Linked DNA regions of Arabidopsis thaliana. The protein of the gene in region 1 interacts with the protein of each later gene in a pairwise test. Each region holds a gene or a part of one and is shown in the gene's direction. Other genes may lie near its edges. The genes, in order: AT3G15780 and ADS1.

Region 1 (3,970 bases):
ATCTTTATAAATTACATAATTTGACTGTGTATTAACCATGAAGCCAGAGATCAATTTCAAAGCGAAACTTTCTAAGATCCAAATCTAATCACAATCATCTCCAAAACAAGTGCCGCTTGGTGGATGGGAGAAAACAAAAGCTTTCCAATATGAACAGAACAAATAACAAACCAATGGTCCAAATTGCACGTAGTTAATTATTTCGATTCTTTGAATAAGTTATTTCTTGTCCTAACATTTCTTTAAAAGGGTTATAATTTGCTTATGGCTCACGTAATCATAAGTTTTTAATTATTACATATATGACCACCAAAAACACCACCTAACTTTTATCACCATACCGCTTTGAATTTTCAAACTTTATTGTGATTTTATTTACAAGAAACGAATTTAGAATTTTAGTGGATATGTTTGTTTCAATGCCAATGGATATCGCCATATTGGTATAAGATTCTCCATTACAAAAAAAAAAATACACTAGTATAATAGCATGTAACATTTATACAACATAACAAAGTAGAATCTACAAGATCAACATAATTTTTATCACCCTTGGGTTTAACCTCCGATTAGTTTTTTCTTTATAAGAAACAAATTAACCTATAAGAACGAATATACATTATTGTCTTCAATTATGGCAAAACGAGGAAGGATCTAAAAAACCGAACACAGTCGAAAGGAGCCAAAGCAGTCAAAAGTGGATAAGGTAAGTGTAGGGTCCAAAGCCTTATAACTCCACACGACCACTACACTCTCTACACATGGCTCGTCGTCGTTTTGGGGCTATACGTGGGGTCGGGCACTTCTTCTTTCAAGTTTCTTCGAAATGAAGTATCCGAAACTTCCAGATACACGCAAAACCCAGAAAAGAGAAAAAAGAAATCGTCTTTCCTTTTACTTCTCTTCTTCCGATTGGGTCTTTGATCATTTCCCCAATCGATTGATAAGTTTTGTTGGGTTGCTTTCGATTCTTCGTTTGATGATCTAAGAAAGTCTCTGTCTTTCCACGATGGGGTAAGTCAGTTAACTCGTTTTAAGGTTGTATAAGGTTTTTGATTCTGTGGCGAAAAATGTTATCTTTTTAATCTGGGCCATTGGAATTCGAAAGTTTTTAGCTTTGGGTATTCATAAAGATTTGAGCTTTGAAGGAATAAGCTTTTGGATATAAGGATGATGTTTTTGTTTGGATGATGATTTGGTTTAGCTATTACACAAAATGAATGATATGTTTAATGATTTTGTAACACAGCAGTAGTTGTTTGGCTTGTTTTGATAAGTCGAAAGCAAAAACAAGTGTAGATGTGCCTTTGAATGGCACAAAAGATGTGTTAGTAGAAGAAGATTGGAGTGAATTGAGGAAGCCTAGTGTAGTAGCTTCTGAAGATTTCTGGACTAATACCACTTTAGATATGGAAAGCAATGCTCACGGAAGTGTTTCTTCAATCAGTACAACCAATCTGACTATTGATTCTCAAGGATGTGGTTCCAGCTCTAATGAACCTGCTGAATTTGTTAACCATGGTGAGTCAGTGAGTGAGAAGAGTATGATTGGTGATTGGTCTTATTGAGCATTTGAAAAATAATTGGAGAATTTTTTGGGGTGTTACAGGTCTTGTGCTATGGAATCAAACTCGGCAGCAATGGGTGGGAGATAAAAGATCCGAGAGCCGTAAAAGCGTTGGTCGAGAACCGATTCTAAAGTGAGGATTATATAAGACCTAATGGTTCGAAGAGTCCAACTGTTGTGTGGAATATAAACAGTTTGATTGTTTTTGCAGTGAGAATGTGACTTATGAGAGTCTACTTGGGAGCAACAAGCGATTTCCGAGGCCTATACCTCTTGATGTAAGTTCAACTCCATGAACTGGAGGAAGTAACTATCCATTCTCATCCAAATTTTGTTTGTTATTGAAAGTTTTATCATTGCAGGAAATGGTGCAGTTTCTTGTTGAAGTTTGGGAAGAAGAAGGTCTATACGGCTAAAAGATTCTTTTTTACACATTTACAATTGTAAAGAGAGCTGAGAAAAATATATACACCCAACAAAAAATATTTGTTGATGGATCAAATTTTATAAAATTCTCTTGATTTGGAGTAATTTCCACAAAAATGTTTTTTTTTTAAATTGTCGTACACGTGTATGTCTGAATCAGAAACCCCTTAAATAAAAATGAGTTCTTAATTTTATCGTCGAGGAAAAATGGCGATGGCTTTGTCCAACCCGACCACAAGCACTAACCTCTACCACTACTCAATTCTCTCGCCGTTCTCACCGCCGTATCACCTTCACCGTCGAAACACCGTCCTACTAGCGAGTCCCCGCCGTTTACGCCGCCTCGCCGTCGCTGGTGGTCCTCCTTCTCCTCCAGGCCCTGATCCGCCTCCGCCTGAGGACACCACTCAGCTAGAAGGTTCGATTCTTCTTGCCCAGATTGATATTTTGGTCCTTTGAATCCTACTTTGTTTGGTTGGTCTTTGTTGTACTTGCTTTTCAGTTTTCACTTTAACTGTTGTGTTTTGGGTCGAAAGTTTCAATTTTTATCCGATAGTTTGATATAAGTATGGAGTCTTTTAGGTTAGTACTTGGTATTGAATCGTGCTGAGATTGTTATTGTATCATGAAACTTCCAAAACATGAGGATGATTTCATCCAATTAGTTGTTGTGTCCATGGAACCAAAGTTCAAATCTTGTGACATGATTTTGGCTTAGGCAATTAGGATTGTGGAATTTACTCCTTATGATTCAAAATGGCTACCATTTTATGTGGGGATTTTCTAAATTTTCTCTTAAGATGTAAAATTGTGCAGTAGTTGTATGTTCATTGGTTCTGCAATTAGTCCATATGTTATGTTGAATAGCTTGGGTGATGATTCCTTTATAACATAGAAGGATAGGCTGGAAATAGAAAAAACTGCACTCATGACTGATACTAAGTGAAATGAATACTCTTGTTTTCTTTTTCTCTTTGTAAAGGTCTTGTGGGAGCTGTGACAAGGGTTCAAGACCGCGTAAAGATTTTCCTCGCAGTGTTCTTTTGGATGTTTCTCTTCTTCTGGGTTACAGTCACAGATGGGACGGGTAAAGGCAAAGGCAAGAAGGGTTCACGTTTCAAGTAGTTTCCATATATGAAGAGGCTTTGGTGATTATCTACTACTCTATACTGTATATATATCAAGACTTCAAAGAGATCAAATTACCTGTATAAACTTCACCAAGTAAGCATCTTCCTTGTACATCACTTATTCAGATGATAATAGGAAACAATAAGATCGTGTTATCTTCTTGGTTAATGCTAGTGATATATAGTACTCAATTCCTGATTCTTTCCCAGTCTCCATCTGATCATGCTTAAAAAACGGCGTCGTTGAGCAATAGGACTCAAGACATGAATGGGCCTAATTTATGGGCTTTAAAGAGTTTAAACCACAGTAACGTTCTGTTTTACCGGACTCCAAAGCAATACTCCATTAGAGTTTTTTTCCCCCAAAATGGAGAAAAGTCGTTAACTATTTGGCACGTGTATTGCATGAGCACCAAGTAAGTCTAAATCTGCATTAAATGCGAACATCCGAGTCGACTTAACACCTTTTGATCAAGGCTTTAACGTGTCGTTGTTACCATAGAATATAGATGATAGAGCGCATTTTATATCACTGGATATAGACACGTGGTTAAACTTAATTGGGTTGTTAGTTAAGTTGTTGTGCTACCTCCAAGTGACTTTATCATATACTCTGTGTGTTTCTGGTAGTAAAAAAAGGTCTAAAACCATAGTGTTAAGCAAAAGAGAAAAAGAAGAGCAGAGCAAAATCCCTAAAATTTTAAACTCTGTTTTGCTTTCCGACAATCAAACCCTAGGTTGTCTGTTGCTTCATTCGTGTAAATTGTTAAATTTTTTGTTTTTGTTTTCTTGGCATTTTGTGGTTGATCTTTCTAATTTGTTTTCAGGGGTTGCTAAAGGGAAAGGA
Region 2 (5,052 bases), on another chromosome or scaffold:
GGGAAAACTATATGTGAAGATATATGAATTATTTTCGAAATGATTATTGGAACGTTTCAAAATGAAAGAATGGAGAATATTTTAAAAATCAGAGGCTTAGTAGGGCGAGGCCCCCTCTATGCCGTGAACGCTCACAGGAGCCTTACTTATTTTATCTCTTTGTTTCAAATCTTATCGACGGAAAATTTCTATAACCCATTTAACAAAAAAAAAAAAAATTATAACCCACAAATGATTGTATAAATAGTTTACAAAACGATAGGTATATATGTAGATATATATAGTACTGTCTATGCTTATATACTTTTACAACCCGGTTTAATATTTATATAATTACCATTTATCTCTTCATAAATTATCATATTAATTTATGTAATAGCAACCCCCAACTGTATTTATAAAAAAAAATAACATTATGCAATCGTCAACATTACTACAAATCTATATATTATTTATAATTAATTCATCTATAAGAAACTTGCTATATGTTTTCATTTAATATTGGTTGGAAGGTTATTTAGTCAAAGAAAAGCCATTAATAGCTGGAGATTTAAACTCCATTGTGAATTACAAACATTTCTTAATATGCAAACCATTACGAAGATGTATCCGGGACTTAAGTTGCTGTTTAAGTCTAATTTGTTCACCGGATGGAGACAAAACATGAAATAACGGCTAAATTAATTGTAAACCATAGTTTTCAAGCTTTGATTAAAGAGTCAAGCGAAACATTAATTTTAGTGTTGGGTCTTTAATTATAAATCACCGATTTGCATTCAAGTTTTGATAAGATATCTAGTTCGACTCTTCGTTCGGTTTTGGTTTAGTAAGTAAACAATGGTAGCGACGCTAAGCATGGTTTGATTCATAACTTCATGTGGTAGGTTATGGCCTTGGACTTTACTTTGGTCGAAAAAATATATCATTTTAATATTTTCGCAAAATAATAATATATGTTTGATTTATTCTAAAATTCAATATAATTTACCAAATACTATATTTAACTATATAACTATTTCAAAAATAGTGTATTTAACAGAGATAAAATTCTATTTGTATAAGAAATTCAGCACAAAATAGTTTAAAACAAAAAGAATTTTACAAGGACATTTTCGTGAATTTTAAACAAACACATTAAAAATAAGAAGAAGACAAATTAAAAAGAAATTCAAAGTTAAGTAAATGCAAACACATTTTTTGTGCCAAATGGTCGTTTAAAAAGGATTCGAGAGTTCACGTGCAATGAACTTGTACTATATATGCTAATCAAAATCTACTTACTTTAAATTATTTAGACGTTACATTGAACTGTCTTTAGATAAAAGATGTACTGTAATATTGGCCTTGTCTATCTTAATTCATAATTTTATTTTAGTATACCTAGATTATTTTTGCTTATCCTTTACTGATTTTACAAAGTATTCAAGACCATAAACACTAGTATAGTAGTATTGAACTAAACTTAACTAGCTTGGATTTGACCAAGATCTATGCAATATATTAAGAACTTGTTATACATATATGTGGGTTAATAAGCCATATATACCTACACTCACAAATCTTGAATATAGATTGTGATACAACAGCAATATTAGTACAAACCATTGGATGCTCTACAATGTTTTGTCTAATTGACCAAAAATAAAATTTAACCTCATATCTTTCAACCACTTTTTTCATAAGATTAAAAAGTTTTGTCATATATTCTTAATTTTTTTCCCTTGACCTAGCTAGTAGGTTTTCTAAAATTTCGGATTTGATACGTATATTCTTATAGTTTGCTAATACGTATCGGATACAGCATCTTTGTGTATGGTCCACCAGTAAATTACATTTGGGTAAGTATTTGATTTTAGTTGATTTTTTTCCAACTTATGTCACAAATCATTCATGTATCAAAAAAGTTGATACATTGTCAATTTACTATTAATGTATTTATCCATATAAAGTGACTTCTAAAAGTATTTTAAATATACAAAAAAAAAGTAGCTTAGATTCTTTTTCATGAAAAAATTTCGAAAAATTAAAAATGAAGAAAAAAAAAATCCTGCCAACTCCTTTATTAAGATGGTAAGAGAGAGCTCTGAGAAGAGAGAAGCAGCACCAAAAAAAATTCATATCTCTCTTTCCTTTCAATTTTCTCAGTTGTTAAAACCTCTCATACTCATTAGAGAGCTCTTCACGAGAGAACTCTTTCTCTTTCCCATTAAAGATCAAATCTTTCTTCTTCTTCATCAACACCATCATCATCATCACCGTCATGTGTAACCCATCAACAACAACAACAACCACCGGTTCAGAGAACCAAGAATCTCGAACCGGACTCTTCCTCGATCTCTTCTCGATCAATAGCTTTGAACCCACAAAGAGAAATCTCCGGCATTGTGAGAACAGAGGATCTCCTCTTATGGCAGAAGCTGTAACAGAGGCGAAATCTCTCTTCACGTTAGCTTTTCCGATCGCCGTGACGGCTCTTGTCCTCTACCTACGCTCAGCCGTATCAATGTTTTTCTTGGGTCAACTTGGTGACCTCGAATTAGCCGCCGGTTCACTCGCCATTGCCTTTGCTAACATAACCGGTTACTCTGTTTTATCCGGTTTAGCTCTTGGTATGGAACCACTCTGTTCTCAAGCCTTCGGTGCTCACCGCTTCAAACTCCTTTCCCTAACCCTCCATCGAACCGTGGTTTTTCTCTTGGTTTGTTGCGTACCGATCTCGGTTCTCTGGTTTAACGTCGGCAAAATATCGGTTTACCTTCACCAAGACCCCGACATCGCGAAATTAGCTCAGACATATCTCATCTTCTCCCTACCTGATCTTCTCACCAACACTCTTCTTCATCCAATCAGAATCTACCTTCGTGCTCAAGGCATCATTCACCCCGTAACCCTAGCTTCTCTCTCCGGCGCTGTTTTTCACCTCCCGGCTAATCTTTTCTTAGTCTCTTACCTCCGTCTTGGTTTAACCGGCGTAGCAGTCGCTTCCTCCATCACAAACATCTTCGTCGTTGCTTTCCTCGTTTGCTACGTCTGGGCGAGTGGTCTTCACGCGCCTACATGGACTGACCCGACCCGTGATTGTTTCCGCGGGTGGGCTCCGTTGCTGCGTCTCGCGGGACCAAGCTGTGTCTCCGTGTGTTTGGAATGGTGGTGGTACGAGATCATGATCGTTTTGTGTGGTTTGCTCGTGAATCCAAGATCGACGGTGGCTGCTATGGGCGTTTTGATCCAGACGACGTCGTTTCTTTATGTTTTCCCGTCTTCTCTTAGCTTTGCTGTCTCAACTAGAGTCGGAAACGAACTTGGAGCCAACCGTCCCAAGACAGCAAAGCTAACGGCTACGGTGGCTATCGTTTTCGCGGCGGTTACAGGGATTATAGCGGCGGCGTTTGCTTACTCAGTCAGAAACGCTTGGGGAAGGATTTTCACCGGAGACAAAGAGATACTCCAGCTAACAGCGGCGGCGTTACCGATATTAGGTCTATGCGAGATCGGAAACTGTCCTCAGACGGTGGGATGCGGCGTCGTGAGAGGAACAGCACGACCGTCAACGGCGGCGAACGTGAACCTTGGAGCGTTTTATCTGGTGGGCATGCCGGTGGCAGTGGGTCTCGGGTTTTGGGCCGGAATTGGGTTTAATGGGCTTTGGGTAGGACTACTTGCGGCGCAGATTAGCTGCGCAGGTCTTATGATGTACGTGGTGGGGACCACAGATTGGGAATCGGAGGCTAAGAAGGCGCAGACGCTAACGTGCGCTGAGACTGTAGAGAATGATATTATTAAGGCGGTGGTGGCGAGTACTATAGACGGTGAGTGCGATGAGGCTGAGCCGTTGATTCGCATCACGGTGCTTTATTAATATTAATTAAGACAAAACAAAACAAAATTATAATCATCATAATTATTCCCATCTCTTTTCCATAGAAGGAGAAAGTTTTGCCTTTCTTTGAGAAATTTAACATTTTCTTCTTTTTTTGTACTTAAAAATTTCTTTTTTTTTATCTCCTTATTTTTTCCGATGCCCTTATGATTGGCCGTTTATATGGAGTATCTATGAGTTTTTTTTTTATAAACTACTACATATGCTAAATACTTGAATAAACTCACATGAATGCAAAAAAATAATCACATGATTTTTTTTTTGCTCACAACTAAACATTTAATTACACCCAATCTGAGACAAAAGATGTTGGGACCATATAGCTGGAGCGACAGAGAATTAATTCAAAATAATTTTTGAAATGTTTTTGTAAGTTAATAAGATAATATGGAGAGAAGAATTCACTGTTGAATTGTAGAGACTTATTATTATTTGAAGGAAAAAATCTTACTAATAAATAGAAAAAAATGGGTGATAAAAAAAGGAAAGAGAGTAATATGGTAATTTGGAAAAAAGTGGCAACCCTGTGGGAAACAAAAACTTGTGTCTCAAAGATTCAGACAGGTCTGAATGAATGTTTTGGATTCCCTATAGACTATAGAGTGCTGTTTTGTTCAGAGATGAGAGAGAGAGTGAGTGAGAGATATCAAGTCCCAAGGACCATTGTATTGCATCATCTCATAAATTATTCCTACATTTTATTTTTATTCTCATCATAAATTATTTTATCCATATAATTCTGCATTTCGATGGGTATGGTTTCTAGTTTATTATTCTTATTATATAAAAAATAAAGTTTTAAAGTTGACGATAAAATATGTTATGTAAACTTCACTATAGATATTTTTTTTCCATTTCATTCTATCATAGTGAAATTTGAGAATGTACATTGTATAAGATCATACACTTTTTTTTTTGTCGACAAAAATCATACACTGAAAAACAATGAAAGTTGTTACAAATATAAACAAACAATAAATCAAATATAACACTTTCTCCTGTTGTTTAGAACCTTTTCATATGCATATCAGCATATGCATTAACAAATTATTGTGATGTATTATGATTTCATACTGAAAATTAACGAATTCGTTGTAAAATAAAATAAAAATTAATTCATTGTAAAATAAAATAAAAATTAATCAAGAGATACCTTATGAATTTGATGTGTT

Evidence for each region.
Region 2: the proteins of AT3G15780 (region 1) and ADS1 interact in a protein complementation assay, tested with the Arabidopsis thaliana proteins (one large-scale study listed by BioGRID).

What each region holds. Positions count from the first base shown.
Region 1 is NC_003074.8:5,339,234-5,343,203, forward strand, and holds AT3G15780 (uncharacterized protein), read left to right. Parts: upstream 1-2,122; 5' UTR 2,123-2,200; coding exon 2,201-2,411; intron 2,412-2,975; coding exon 2,976-3,118; 3' UTR 3,119-3,324; downstream 3,325-3,970. Other genes in the region: AT3G15770 (uncharacterized protein), read left to right, coding at 1,010-1,014, 1,250-1,521, 1,610-1,700, 1,779-1,845, 1,930-1,983.
Region 2 is NC_003075.7:14,366,888-14,371,939, forward strand, and holds ADS1 (MATE efflux family protein), read left to right. Parts: upstream 1-1,989; 5' UTR 1,990-2,260; coding exon 2,261-3,859; 3' UTR 3,860-4,308; downstream 4,309-5,052.